Arabidopsis thaliana: one gene and its partner. The protein of the gene in region 1 interacts with the protein of each later gene in a pairwise test. Each region holds a gene or a part of one and is shown on either strand. Other genes may lie near its edges.

The links. Proteins that work in one complex are often made in the same cells at the same time.
Region 2: the proteins of UBC36 (region 1) and AIRP1 interact in a two-hybrid assay, tested with the Arabidopsis thaliana proteins (one large-scale study listed by BioGRID).

The regions. Positions count from the first base shown.
Region 1 is NC_003070.9:5,774,268-5,781,591, forward strand, and holds UBC36 (ubiquitin-conjugating enzyme 36), read right to left. Parts: upstream 4,218-7,324; 5' UTR 4,061-4,217; coding exon 4,025-4,060; exon of another isoform or gene 3,823-4,024; coding exon 3,768-3,822; intron 3,672-3,767; coding exon 3,585-3,671; intron 3,562-3,584; exon of another isoform or gene 3,206-3,561; coding exon 3,147-3,205; exon of another isoform or gene 2,854-3,146; coding exon 2,812-2,853; intron 2,700-2,811; coding exon 2,626-2,699; intron 2,518-2,625; coding exon 2,420-2,517; intron 2,321-2,419; coding exon 2,283-2,320; 3' UTR 1,910-2,282; downstream 1-1,909. Other genes in the region: ACR11 (uridylyltransferase-like protein), read left to right, coding at 65-110, 197-334, 466-560, 702-786, 883-942, 1,273-1,328, 1,437-1,542, 1,646-1,714 and 1 more; EBS3 (Alg9-like mannosyltransferase family), read right to left, coding at 4,995-5,126, 5,215-5,304, 5,398-5,594, 5,767-5,905, 6,006-6,117, 6,265-6,560, 6,694-6,911, 7,125-7,284. UniProt on the Arabidopsis thaliana protein: Catalyzes the synthesis of non-canonical poly-ubiquitin chains that are linked through 'Lys-63'. This type of poly-ubiquitination does not lead to protein degradation by the proteasome. Mediates transcriptional activation of target genes.
Region 2 is NC_003075.7:12,238,621-12,245,617, forward strand, and holds AIRP1 (RING/U-box superfamily protein), read right to left. Parts: upstream 4,087-6,997; 5' UTR 3,842-4,086; exon of another isoform or gene 3,816-3,841; intron 3,772-3,815; 5' UTR 3,571-3,771; coding exon 3,434-3,570; exon of another isoform or gene 3,246-3,433; coding exon 3,182-3,245; intron 3,102-3,181; coding exon 2,810-3,101; intron 2,735-2,809; coding exon 2,625-2,734; intron 2,517-2,624; coding exon 2,493-2,516; 3' UTR 2,184-2,492; downstream 1-2,183. Other genes in the region: AT4G23440 (Disease resistance protein (TIR-NBS class)), read left to right, coding at 1-2,039; AT4G23460 (Adaptin family protein), read right to left, coding at 5,279-5,578, 5,880-6,083, 6,171-6,360, 6,501-6,880, 6,987-6,997. UniProt on the Arabidopsis thaliana protein: Possesses E3 ubiquitin-protein ligase activity in vitro when associated with the E2 enzyme UBC8 in vitro. Plays combinatory roles with AIRP2 in the positive regulation of the abscisic acid-mediated drought stress response.

The DNA of each region.
Region 1 (7,324 bases):
TTTTGAGCTGATCTTCTACGGATTCAAATACTTCAATTCAATTCTTTTTTTTTTTTTTCTTCAGATTATCCACTTTGAAGATTAGAGCATCAAATGCTACTGCTGTGGAGGTATGAAAATGAAATGATTACACAAGGACACTAGTAATTTGAATAGACTTTTTAAAGTTTATATGTTTTTGTTTTTGATTTTGAAGAATGGAAAGCAAGAAGGAAGTGCTGCTGATTCTGATAAAGTTCCAACTCCAGTTGTTATAATCGACCAAGATTCTGACCCTGATGCAACCGTTCTTGAAGTTACATTCGGAGATCGTCTTGGAGCTTTACTTGACACTGTAAGGAAGGATACCTTCTTCTTACTCACTTGTTGCTAGCTCTGCATAATCGACCAACATTCACAAAAGCTTCTTACTTCCTTTCCTGCTTTTTTGACTGCTTCTTGATCTGATCAACTTTGCCCTTCTAGATGAATGCGCTCAAAAACTTGGGATTGAATGTCGTCAAGGCAAATGTTTACCTTGATTCTTCCGGCAAGCACAACAAATTTGCCATTACTAGAGCGTATGTCTTTTCATATCATCAAAGAGTATTTTGAGCTCCAAGAGTCGTTTAGATAGTTAATGTTGCTTTGAATCGATTGACTCTGTCAAATAGTTGACTTTAGATTGAGTTTTGAGCTGACTGTAATTGTTGTTACAACAGAGATAGTGGAAGAAAAGTAGAAGACCCTGAATTGCTTGAGGCCATTCGTCTCACAGTCATAAACAATCTGCTTGAGTTTCATCCTGTAACTACTTCACATCCTAATATCCTCTCTTTCTATTTTTCCTATATCTTGCATAATTTTTTAACTCACACATTGCTTCTCGATGATTTGGATCAGGAATCAAGTTCTCAGTTGGCAATGGGAGCAGCTTTTGGTGTTCTTCCTCCAACTGAACCGGTAAAAACCTTAAACTGTGATGCTCTTTTTATAACCTTATCCACTTCTTTTGTATTGCACTAATTCTTCAAGTAGTTAGCATCCTCGAACATAAAGGTCAAGACTGCTTGTCGTTTCCTCGGTCACGTACAGATAAGAAACAATAATAGAGAAAACAAAGACTTAACTAATAATCAACATATTTGGATTTGGCGGGTCAATGTAGAGTACAAGTATTAAACTTCATTATAGTATTAATCACTTTGATGAAGAAGGGAATACCCACGCAACTTCAAAGTAGCTTCAAAATTCATTTTCCTTCTTCTGTATTTTGGATTGGGATGTTGACAGATTGACGTGGACATAGCAACACATATAACCATTGAAGATGATGGACCAGACCGCAGGTAATGTATACCCATACCTTATCTCAACTCTAGAACCTTATCCAAATGCTTTTATTCTTATGATATATGATCTGATCATTGATCCATAATTATTTGTTGATGATGCAGTTTACTCTTCATAGAATCAGCGGATAGACCTGGACTATTAGTTGAGCTGGTGAAGATCATTTCAGATATCAGCGTCGCTGTTGAATCTGGAGAATTCGACACCGAGGTATCTAATAATCCTGTTTTTTAATGTCTAAAACATATACCCTCCGCTATAATATCGCTCTGTTTCTCATGTTGCTTCTTCTTGTTGTATGTGAAACAAAAAGGGTTTGTTGGCTAAGGTGAAGTTTCATGTAAGCTACAGGAACAAAGCCCTAATCAAGCCTCTCCAGCAGGTTAAAATTCTGAAATTAGACTTTTCTCTTTGATAAGTTGAAATGTTTTTACTGAAATGAAATCAAATTTTGTATTTGTAGGTCCTTGCTAATAGTCTGAGGTACTTCTTGAGGCGTCCATCAACTGACGAGTCAAGTTTCTGATTATGCCCATTTTTCAAAATCTCAAGTCTCATTCCTCGTGACTACTATTTTTACCACTTTTTTTTTTTTTTACATTTGACCAAAATAAGCTGCTTCATACACCTGTAATAGTAACATTATGCATCATTCATCCAATTTACTTTGATTCACAACCTGTGAAAATCTGATTATCTACACCACTTTATAAAGATTATTATAGAGCATATATAACAAAAACAAAGATCAAAAGCAAGCACAATTGAAGAAAGTTAGATTCCAGATATGGGTAAACGAGTCTTAGATCCCCCTAGTTATACAAATTCAGAGAGTACAAATCTTTTTCCTCTGTTTTCAGAAAAAGGATTCAGATAAAACCTTGAGATAGAGTTTCACCATATATAATGTTATTTAAATGACAATGATCTTTCTCCATTTGCAGTCTTCTTTAAGCACCACTTGCGTAAAGACGAGTCCATTCCTTAGCTGCATAAGTTCACATTGATATGAGATTACCAGATTAGAGAGGAGAGGAATAAAGTTTTTGTTGCAACTTTTTTGAGTTTTTCGATCGTATTTTATCACCTGTTTCCACAGCTTCTGCCTCATTGCTCTTCCAATGCTTAGCTATGTTCTCAGACAGAGGATCATCTGGGTTTGGTGCACTTAAAAGAGCTTGGATACTGTTTTTACACGGCAATGGAAAATCAGAAAGTGTGAATAATTAAATCTTAATTTCTACAATATTTTGGATTTAGTAGGGAAAGAAGATTCTATGGATATATTCATACCTCAAGAGCACAGTTCGTATTTGTAGTGCAGGACTCCACTTGTCTTTCAGTATGTCAAGGCAGATTCTTCCAAGCTATATATACATGATAAGTGCAAACAAAACATGATCCATAAGTATAAAAGACCATGTGTTTGGTTAGTTATCTTGACAGTAAGAGAAGAAAAGGAAATTTTTCACAACAGACCTTGTCGATGTTAGGATGGTAAATCTTGGTGAGAAACCTAACCTGTGTTTCAAATGATATCATCAATAAGACCCATAAACTCTACATCAATGAAGAAACTTGGATACGTTGTCTAATATAATATAAGAAAATACATTCGGAGTAGTCATAACAAAACCAAAATCACCAATCTCATAAACCCATAAATAAAATCCTAGTGTTAAGAGTAGAGAGACATTCACTTAAAGAGCATTTACCTCCACTTAACAATGTTATGTGGGGTAATCCTAATGTTACCAAAACAAGTGAAACATGAAATGAAAGAAGAAAAACACACAAAAGTTGAAGCAACTTACCTTGGGAGCTGCCATAGGATATTCTTCAGGCAAAAAGAGCTCCAACTTGAAAACTCCTCCTACAGATTGAGAAGGAAACAAAATTATTGGTAAACATCAATTAACAGAAATATGATGATAGATAAAACAGCAGACTTGATTCTGGAAATTCGACTTGGCATTGTGTATTCTAGAACAAATAAAATGTGTCGAAATGAACTCAAAGGTAGCTTAAAGACTCATCGTTATTCATAACACTACAATCCGAACATGAGCAATCTATGAGACCTAGTAGTACCTAAACGAACATATCCGTTTGTATAAACAAATATAGAGACAGAGCAGAGTCACTACTTGCAGCAGAAACGATAACGATAAATCGTTGAGCAGCATGCATTAAAGAAGAAAAAGGAAGAAGTAACGATGAGCATCTTTGGGAGATTAAAACAATTTGACTACCTTCATAAGGAGATTGAGTAGGACCAAGAATCATAACATTGAAATATCTCATATTTTCCTCTGATGGAGACGCACTTATCCCAGGAGCTGCAATTTCGAAAGATATACAACTTAGAATTAAAATCAATAGTTCCAGCTACCAAAACCAACTGTTTGAGCTAAAATCAACTGTGAGAAATCAACAAGGATCGAATGAAGTGATGAAATTACCAGGTTCACTAAGCAGACGTTGAGTTTCCTATCAGATCGAAGAACAAAAAAAAGTCAGATCAAGATGACGAAGATGATATAAGATCGTACAAGCTATCGAAAATTCTTCCCAGTTCTGCTGAGGTATATAATCCGTCGGTTCCTTCTTCGGATTTCAGATTAGAATTCCCCAAAATGAAACTGAGGGGAGATACGGATCGGAGGATGCTACAGAGGATCGGAAAACTAACCTTGATGATTCGTCGGGGAAGATTACTATTGGCCATTATCGCACGCTATCGGATTCGATCGTCACAGAGAAGTTAGGGTTTTTGAGAGAGAACGAAGCTACCAAAGGCTGATAATAATCGAGTACGCTTCGTCGTCTCTAGTTTCGTGCCCCTTTGATCCTTTTAATTCTTTCTTTTTTTCCTTTACGGAAATAAATTGATGCTTTTATGCTAGTAAAAATATATAATTACATGAAATATGTAAGGAATACATTTAGTAAATAATTTTCTGTAAGTTCTCTTCCATATTCATATTCAATTTTTTTAAGAATAATTTCCATATTCAAATACTTTTTTAACCATGATTGAAAACTACTAAGAAAATAATCTTTTCTTAGTTTTGTAAACGACATGCACTATTTATTAGTCTGGTGGTAACATAGTGACAACATTATTACAAACGTCAATATACCTACCATGATCTCGATGACTCGATCAAATTTTTAGAAAAATTAATACCTTGTTTAGGTTATTCTTTTCTTCAAAGATAATCTTTTACAATATATATACACAACTTTTTTAGTTCATTATCTTCAATTCTATTGCGTTCTTCTTCTGTACCTTTTTACGACGCGTTGGTCAAACGCTAACTTAAAGAGGACAGAAATATGAATTATGAAGTGCCCTCCATAGTCTTCTCATTTTCTCCCTTTTTCTCGATAGCCAAAATTGGAATCCGCAATATCAAAAGACAAAAAGAATATAGACTTTGCACAATAATGTCATAAACATAATCTTCCACGTTCTTCTGACCATTTGGAGATTTCTTACAAAGTTAAAACTAGTCTCTTTCACAACAACACAACTACGAACCGTGAACGTACCTGAACTTAAAGCCGATACTAATCAGTTATTAGTTATTACATTCTCCCAAAACTACCCAATGAACTGAGTTAAAGCTACAAGTCTAAGGAGTTTTAACGATTTGTGATCATTTTGGGACTCTTCTCAGTGCTACGTATTTGCCAAACACATTTTTCTCCTGCCACATGTGCGGGATGAAGAACGATCTATACTTAGCTGGCGACAGCTCTCTGTCCAAATAAGGCAACACCGCAATAGCCTGAAAAAAGGGTCAAAACAACCAATTGAAGAAGTGAAGTGAAATCAAAGATGGATTCTGTTTCAGGAAGATGGTTTGATTCCTATACCTCCCATGTAGATAAGTCGCTGCCTCGATACTGATACGGTCTGCTAAGCTGCAACTCAATGAGGAATGTACAAGTTTCGATGTTCTTTAACTGGAAAAAATGGAACGAGTAAACAAGCCATGATTAAGTTTATGTTTAGAGATATTTTGAAGGTTTCATGAGAGAAGAGTGTGTGAGTATTACATATTGTTCTTCGGATGCTTGGTTCTTGTTGTTGAAGTATGGAGGTGATGCTGAAGTGCCTCCAAGTGTATTGTTAAATGGGAATGGAAGAAGACCGCGGAATCCATCATCGATCCACCGTACTTCGCTAATGTAGTGGGGCACAAAAAACGATGATGGGTATCGATGCCATTCACTTCCCACACATAGAACAGAACCTGACATACAAAACCAACCAAGAAGTCATCAGTGATTAGAAAACTTTTGTCAAAAGGACTTTGTTACCCTTTTTCCAATGGCAAATTACTATTCTTGAAGTAAAAGTGAGATGTGATCTTCACTCGTCTTAGCATTATAATGATCAAGAAGTTCAGTTCGAATTGGATATACCTGGTCCTGCATCATCATGATGCTCCAGTAGTTTGTAGACCTCCAAGGGAGCGGAATAGCCATTAATAAGAGCAAATGTGCGAGAATGTGAAGCACATAAGATACAACCAAGAATCACAGGTCGCATGTATTTGGTTATCTGCGTATTAAACAGATATGTGAGAATCGTACAATCTACTTCTTTTCAATTTGCGGAAAGGTATAAATCAGAGACTGAGATATTGTAAGTTGGAACTTACTGTCACCAGAAGACTTTCACGTGAGCTATACTTTTCCCGGAACAGCTCAGGGATGTTCTCAATAACAGCAGAAGCAGAGACACAAATAAGAGGGTATATAGGATAAAGGAACCTGCAGTCAATTAATTGACAATCAAAAACATTGTTTGTTGAATACCGTGATTTTGTAAAAGTATCATAAAACTGGTTTCCTCAACGATATAGAAGCCACCATACGAATGCTCAAAAAATTACAAGATGAAAGATCTTAGAAAATCACCTTTCTTCTTTGTGGGGCTGAAGTGACATGAACGCCAGCCAAATATACATCGGGGAAATCACAACCAGCAGGGCACGGTCATACTTCCTTCTGATAACAGGATATATTGCGACAAACAACATTGCCAAAATGAAACAGAAGTTGAAGTTGTTAAATCCATTTCTTATATAAAATAACGCTCCTTCAGTCCCATAGAGATGGCTCTCTCCACCCCCTAACACATTGTATATCAAGAGATTCAAAACTGATGATGTCCATCTCTTGTAATAATAGTAATCCACAAGTAGTGAGACTCCCTAGAAAAGAGACAAAACTAATTAGAAGAGAAAATAGTAATTTAAAGTTACAGGTGCTAATGAAAGTCAGCGAGATCCAATAATTCCCATAAAATTCACACAGACAAAGCATCTAGGATTGGTGTTAGCTTACAAGGAGAAATATAGTGGTGACTGCACCAGCGATAAATGCTTGCTTGAATCTCTTAACCAGAGAGTAAATAACGACAGGTAAAAAGGCCAAGATAGAAAATGGCCAGCCAAGAATCACCCCGACAACCGAAACTGCAACAGCCATGGCATACTTCTCGAAAAGTAATAAACCAGATGAGAGGCTTATGGCGTACATAGAAAATGAACTGGGGAGGAAACCTATCAAAATTTTAGAGAAACATGAATTAGTAAGAAACCAGAACACAAAGCCAAATTCAGAGCAATGTCTTTGGAATAACTTATACAAGCATTTGAAACTAAAACCTATCGGATGCAAGAATAACTTGGAAAGCCTATATATGCATATTAAGGAAATATGACAGAAAGCTTAAGCAAGTGTAACAACAAATCAAAACAAAACAAAACACTCACTGGTACTAGCAAAGAAGCAGCCACTGGTTAAGCAGAGCATCGCAACTGCATAGGTAGCGATACGTTTCCCATACTTTCTGGAGAGCGCAACAACCAGGACAGTATCTGAAACTGCAGAAACCAGTCCGAGAAAGAGTCTCACTGCATAGAAAACTCTAACCTATCCAAAAGATAGACGTAAACTGGATAAGAAACATGCA
Region 2 (6,997 bases), on another chromosome or scaffold:
TTTTCAGGGCGGTTACTTTATTGGCAATGCGGTTAGGGAGGAGAAGTATAGTGGAACGGTTAACGAAATGGCGGGATAAAGCGGAGAAAGAGGAGTTTCCGTATCCGCGGAATGAGAGTTTTGTTGGGAGGAAGAAGGAGTTATCTGAGCTAGAGTTTGTTTTATTTGGAGATGTTGCTGGAGATTCTGAAAGGGATTACTTTGAGTTAAAGGCAAGGCCGACAAGAAGGAAGAAGAACGTGACGCTCGGGTGGAATAAAAGCGGTTCAGCGGAAGAAAGACGGAAGAAAGGGAAGGAAAAAGTTGTGTGGAAGGAGTCAGAGAAAGAGATTGAGATGCAAAGTACAGAGATGCCTTCACGGAGTCAAGTGAAAGTAGGGCGAAACACGAGGAGAAAACGGTCGATGAAGGTTGTTTACGGGAAAGGCGTGGCTTGCGTGTCAGGTGAATCAGGGATTGGAAAAACTGAGCTGCTTCTTGAATTTGCTTACAGGCATCACCAAAGGTATAAGATGGTTCTTTGGATAGGTGGTGAGAGCCGTTACATAAGACAGAACTATCTGAATCTTTATCAGTATTTGGAAGTCGACATCGGGATAGAGAATTCTTCGGATAAAACGCGGATGAAGAGCTTCGAAGAGCAAGAAGATGCTGCGGTTTCCAAGATTAGAAAAGAGCTGATGAGGAATATACCGTTCTTGGTTGTCATTGATAACTTGGAGAGTGAAAAAGACTGGTGGGATTCGAAGCTTGTGATGGATCTTCTTCCTCGGTTTGGAGGCGGGACTCATATTTTGATATCTACACGTCTCTCTCAAGTTATGAACATGGAGCCGTTGAAACTCTCTTACCTCTCTGGTGCTGAAGCTATGTCGTTGATGCAGGGGAATGTTAAAGATTATCCGGTTTCGGAAATGGATGCATTGAGAACTATTGAAGATAAACTCGGACGGTTAACGTTGGGATTAGCAGTCGTAGGAGCAATATTGTCAGAGCTTCCTATAAACCCGAGCCGGCTTTTGGATACTATAAATAGAATGCCGTTAAGAGAGATGGTGTGTAGTGGTCGAGAGGGGAATCTGTTGAGAAGAAATGCGTTTCTGTTGCAGCTGTTTGAAGTTTGTTTTTCGATCTTTGATCACGCGGATGGACCTAGAAGTTTGGCTACGAGAATGGTTGTTGCTAGTGGGTGGTTAGCTCCTGCACCAGTTCCAGCTTCTTTATTAGCTTTGGCTGCTCATAAACTCCCTGAGAAACACAGAGGTCCGAAGCGGCTATGGAGAAGACTAAGGCGCGCTATAACCTGCGGTTTTACGTCTTCAAACTCCAAACGATCAGGAGCTGAAGCTGCTTCAATGCTACTTAGATTCAACATTGCTCGAACCAGCAGCATCAAGCTAGGGTTTATACAGATCCACGAGCTTGTGAAACTCTATGCGAGAAATCGAGTACTGGTCAATGAAAACGCTCCCGCAATGGTTCAGGCGGTGATAAGCCGCGGCTCGACTGTTGAAACCGCAGAGCAGATCTGGGCGGTTTGTTTCTTGCTGTTTGGTTTTAGCAACGAATCTCCGACTATTCAGCTGAAGATAACAGAGCTGCTGATTCTTGTGAAACAAGTAATCTTGCCTCTTGCAATCAGAACGTTCATATCATTTTCGCGATGCACAGCCTCAGTGGAGCTACTAAGGGTCTGCACAAACGCACTTGAAGCAGCTGACCAAACGCTAGTGACACCAGTAGAGAAATGGCTAGACAAGTCGCTTTGCTGGAGACCAGTTCAGACAAGTGCACAACTAAACCCTATTCTATGGGAAGAACTTGCTCTAGCTCGAGCCACCGTGCTAGAGACTCGAGCTAAGCTGATGTTACGAGGCGGGCAATTTGGTTTGGCTGATGACTTGATCAGAAAAGCAATCTTCATAAGAACTTCGATCTCAGGAGAGGATCATCCTGGGACTGTGTCGGCTCGAGAGACATTGAGTAAGTTAACGAGGCTTTTATCCAATGTTCATCAGATTCATAACACTTCACCGTAATAGAGAGAAGCTTTTAGGGCTTTCTTGTTGTAAAAGTTATAAAGGTTAGAGTTTCTTGTTTTTTTTTAATTATCATTATTTTAGTCATAAGAGTTAGATTTATACAGAAGGTTTAGTAATAAAAAAAACTGTTATCTAAGAAATTTGTCAGAGAATCCTTTTTTATCACAGTAAAATCTCTGAATTTTCAGGCTCTTCTAAAACTGTTCTTCAACTTTTCTCGAATTAATTCAGATTCAGAAACAAATCTTAAACATAAGAGTTTTTCAAAGAATATTAAACAATCAAATCTAATTTCTGTATATCATCAAAAGGAAGTGAAAGCTTCTGAATGTAGTAGAGAGCAACAATGTTCATCATACCACCAGAGTAAGTCCTAATGCCTGTTTATATCAAATCTTCTGTACCGTTTTTCGCACTTCTTGTTCCGAGCTATTGGTTTCTTGTTCACGATTATGATTCAGTGAGCACTAATTCCTGTGAAAAGAATACCCAAAAAGTAGACTCTATTGTCAAAACAGATTCTAGTGACTCAAGAAGTTCAAAATGTATTGTGAAAATGGCGGATTTTAAACGGACACAAACCTTATCGCAAACTGGACACGCCTCGCTTCTTTCCATCCATGCAAGAATGCAAGCGAGATGAAAGTCATGGCCACATTTAGTGAGCAATTTCGGGTTATCAATCTCATATTCTGCAAACAAACAAGATGAAGATATTTACCAAAATGTTATATTTAACATGTAACTTTGAATGATAAACAAAATACCTTCTAAGCAAATTGGACATTCATCGATTGCTTCTCGATACTGTTTCTTTAGCTCAAAATCAGTTAGATCATCAACATGCCATGTTTTCTTCTCTGGAACAACTTGTGTGAGTCCCGGGGATGCTTCACTCGAATTGCCCTGAGTTCTTGGCAATTTCGGTGGACTAGTTTGAAGATTTATATTCGTGATGGCTAAAGGAATAGGCGGCGAAAGAGGTGAACTGTATGCATTAGAGAGAGAGGAAGGCGTGGCACGAGATAAGGGAAGATGCTCATCTATAGTTCTTGAGCTCTACAGAAAACAATAAAACATAAGAAAACAAAAACCAAAACCCAAAAAGGCTGCAAACAAGAAAGACGTAGAGGCTTTACTTCGGGTATACTCGGGAGACAACAGCAGCAACCCATTCTTTGGTATGATAAAGTTTTGACAGTTCTCAGATCAGTGTATAGCAGCTCTTTAGGTTACCAAAAGACCTGTAGTATCCAGAAAAAATTCATAAGACTCCTAATTGAAACTCTAATGGGAGGCAAAATCTAGCTCTGTGATCATACTAAGTAACTGGAAAACCAAACTCAAACACCACAAGTACTTCAATGTAACATAGCTAACTATACACTAACAATGAGAGAATAATAGTCACAGAGATTAAAGCAATACAAATATGTGTATCCATTGTGATGACAAATATAAGATTAAAGACTCTCGTGTACTTATGAGGTTCATTATGAAGAAAGTAAATTTCATGTTGAATACTCATGGAAAATCATATGATCCTAAGAACATCTTGAGCTTTCAAATGAAAAAAAAAACTTGGTTTACCATAACAGAGATACTATTAGTTACCAAACCCTAATAGACGAAGAACTGAAAACAGAGTGGTTAAAAAAATAAAAAACAGTAAAACCTGGAAACTAAAAAAGTGGGCTGAAACAGAAGTAAAAAAAAAAAAAAAAAAAATCTCAGAACAACCAAACAGAACAAACGAAAACAGAAAAGAAGAACCTCACAAACAGAGTTAGTGATCCTACAAAACAAAAATATAAAGTGACTTTTGTAACGGAGAAGAAAAAAATCATTAGTTACCTAAAAAACAGAAACAGAAGCTTGATATAGTCCTTCTTTTGATAGGATTTCTGGGAAAACTTTTTGAGGTTTTGTGTTGAATGAGAATTTTCTGATGGCGACGAAGAAGACTAGCTGCGACGAAAGAGGCGACTTTATCAGAGAGATAAAATCAAGGGATCACAATTTTCTTTACTTTAATTGTTATTTTGGTTGTTAATCAAACTTTTTTGTATTTATATTCATTAATCACAAACCATATCGTACAAGGAAACTCTGGATTTTCTTAAGAATATTTCCCATTAGCCCTTTTATAATAAGATTTTCATGATTTGACCACCAAGGTAATTAGTATTATTTTATGGGATATACAATATTAACCATATAAGTTATAACTATATAAGCAAGTTTTAAATTAATGATTGCACTACTTATAGTATCTTAAATCTAAAAATTATGATTCATACTTTTGGTTCAAAATAAAATTAAAAACTGATTAACCAGAAAAACAATTTTTTTATATTTAGTAAAATATTGGATATGAACAGATTTAAAACATTATCTACAGATAAACTGATATAAAGTATAAACCCTTGGTGGGGACAAATAATAATTATTCTATTTAGTAAATGATAAAATTGTCTAAAAAAGTATTTTCAAGCTTGGACCTTTGTTGTACTTACGGTCTCAACTAAAATGTATAGTTTTGATCAAATTAAAATACAATGGTGAGCTTTCATAAACCAATAATGTCGAAACTTTGGTATTTCATTTTAAGTTACAAAAATATTAGTTGATTGATAGTATAATCCCTTTTATGTGATGGCGTGTAGCGCCCTTACTCAACCCTTATATTCGGTGGCATTACTTCAATCTCACGTTACTATTAGTCCCCCTCAAGCTTTAAAATTTTCAATTAGTTTTGGTTTTGAATTGATTTAATAATCAATCGATAATTAAAAGAAGATTAGTTTCGACGAAGCTATTTTGTAACCGCATGTTACAGGAAATCATGATTGATATTGATATTAGGAAATTGCTACGTCGCATTACGGGCCCAGTATCTATCTATCTACGCCTATCTGTTGTGAAGAAGGTACCAAATTCTCAACTGGTTTACGTGTACGAATCTCTTCGCTCCACTTAGGAAACTTTTTGATTTCATGTCGGTCACTGAACACTAAAAATAGCATTTGCTGATAATAAGTCATTATCACACTAGTTTAATCAAAAACCTTTTGGGGCATATACGCAACGACAACATCAAAAATCAAAGCTCTTACGAGAATAAAAAAACGAGTGGGTTCCAACACAAAAATTAGAAACAAGAAGTCGGCAACAATTCACTTACTACATACACTAAAAGAAGAAATTTGCTTACCTTAGGGCAGTGTAAAATCAAATCAAGCCTTGAAGAGAATTTCGACTGCTTCAAAGAAGAGAGGAGCGATCTCAGGGGTTGGAGTCTTGACTGCACATTTCAGACCAGGTTGACCCACTATGGCCGTTAGTTCGATCAGGAACGGTATGCCTCTTGGTACCTTGGCCGAAAGATAGAGGACGTCTTGGTTCCCATTCTTACGCTTTGCTATGAAGAACATGTTTGATGCGGCGAGTAAATCAAGTGTTGACTCCACGCTCGTGATGGTTATCCCGGGGAATTCTTTCTGCACCTCGTTTGAATCCGGTAACGATTTCCATGTCTAATCAAAAAAACAAATGTTTTATAACTCAGAAGAACTGGTTTTTAAGACTGTGGTATATAGTTATGATCAGAAATCAATATCTTCCTTCAGTTCTTACTGAGTCTAGAAACTTAAATCGATGAAAACCATATCATATGTTAAGATCTACAGCACCCTAACTCCCCCAGGCTTCTTAAGGCACAAAATCTGTCACTAATTACTCGCCCATCTTAATATCATAAGCCCTCTCCACTATTAGTCAATGACTAACATGGTGCTGTATTGTTAATGAACTCTTTATCATATATTAGTCTTTTACCTCGAGGAAGGTTCCGCGCTCCATCCGACCATCTTCTGAGAAAAGAGCGTTAAGTACAATCTTATCCTCGAAGTACCAGACAGGCTGCTGGTTGTTTTTGACGGCAACTTGCAATACCGAGCTGGTGGAGCCAGTAGACATGTTTTGGGACAATACCATTGGCATCATTGTCCTGGCAGATGCTCCGGGTTGCAGAGGCGGAACCTATAATAGTACAAAACCTGGACATCAGTTTCAGGAATCCAGGATATATAATAGGCGTAGATGTAGAGCATATCCAACTACTATTACCTGAAGTGATCCGACAGCTGCAAGGCCGAATGAGTTTTTGTTGAACTGAATCATGAAGCCATCAAGAAGTGACTGCGAGTTGTTCTCGAGGAGCATACTGTAGAATACTTGACCATCTTGTCGGGTTAATTGAGCGCTAATCTGCAGACCTTGACCCTTTGATGCTGGTAGGACAACAGGCAGTGGACGACTGCAAACAATATTAGGTGATTCAATGAGTTTTATAAACAACAAGGTGATCCAAATAGATATGATTGAATAAAACCAGTCCATCGCACACCCCAACTGTGAGAGAGACTTTTAATGTAATTTTCACCATTCAAAACTCACCCTGACGGAGTTGTGGGTTCATCTACAGGGACGATTGCAGCATTATCTGACCCCATTAGGTCACCTAGCAGATCGGGTACAGGAGCTGGGGCAGCAGCTAGCTTTGTGACATAGCCTGTGGTAGCTGACGGGGAAGCTGCACCATCAACCGGATTACCAGATGCCTCGGGATATCCTGTTTCGCTCCCTTCTACATAATCCTCATCCTCCGTTTTCTGAACTGTGGTTTTCAAGCGGGTTACAAAAGCCTCTGGCGGCTTGTGATACACAGAGGACAAGGTGGATATATTTGCAAGTAGCTCATCCAGGAGCGACGGATCAAGTTGGTTTGAGTCATCAGTAATCACAGGCTTTTCAGCTAAAACAACATCCTTGGCCGCCTATAGTCAAAAGAAGAGCACTGATGACTGTAGGTAAAAGAGATGATTGTTGCTCATCCTCCAATGTCCTTGAACTAGTTTAGTAGAATATATTAAGAAAACATACCTCAGGATCAG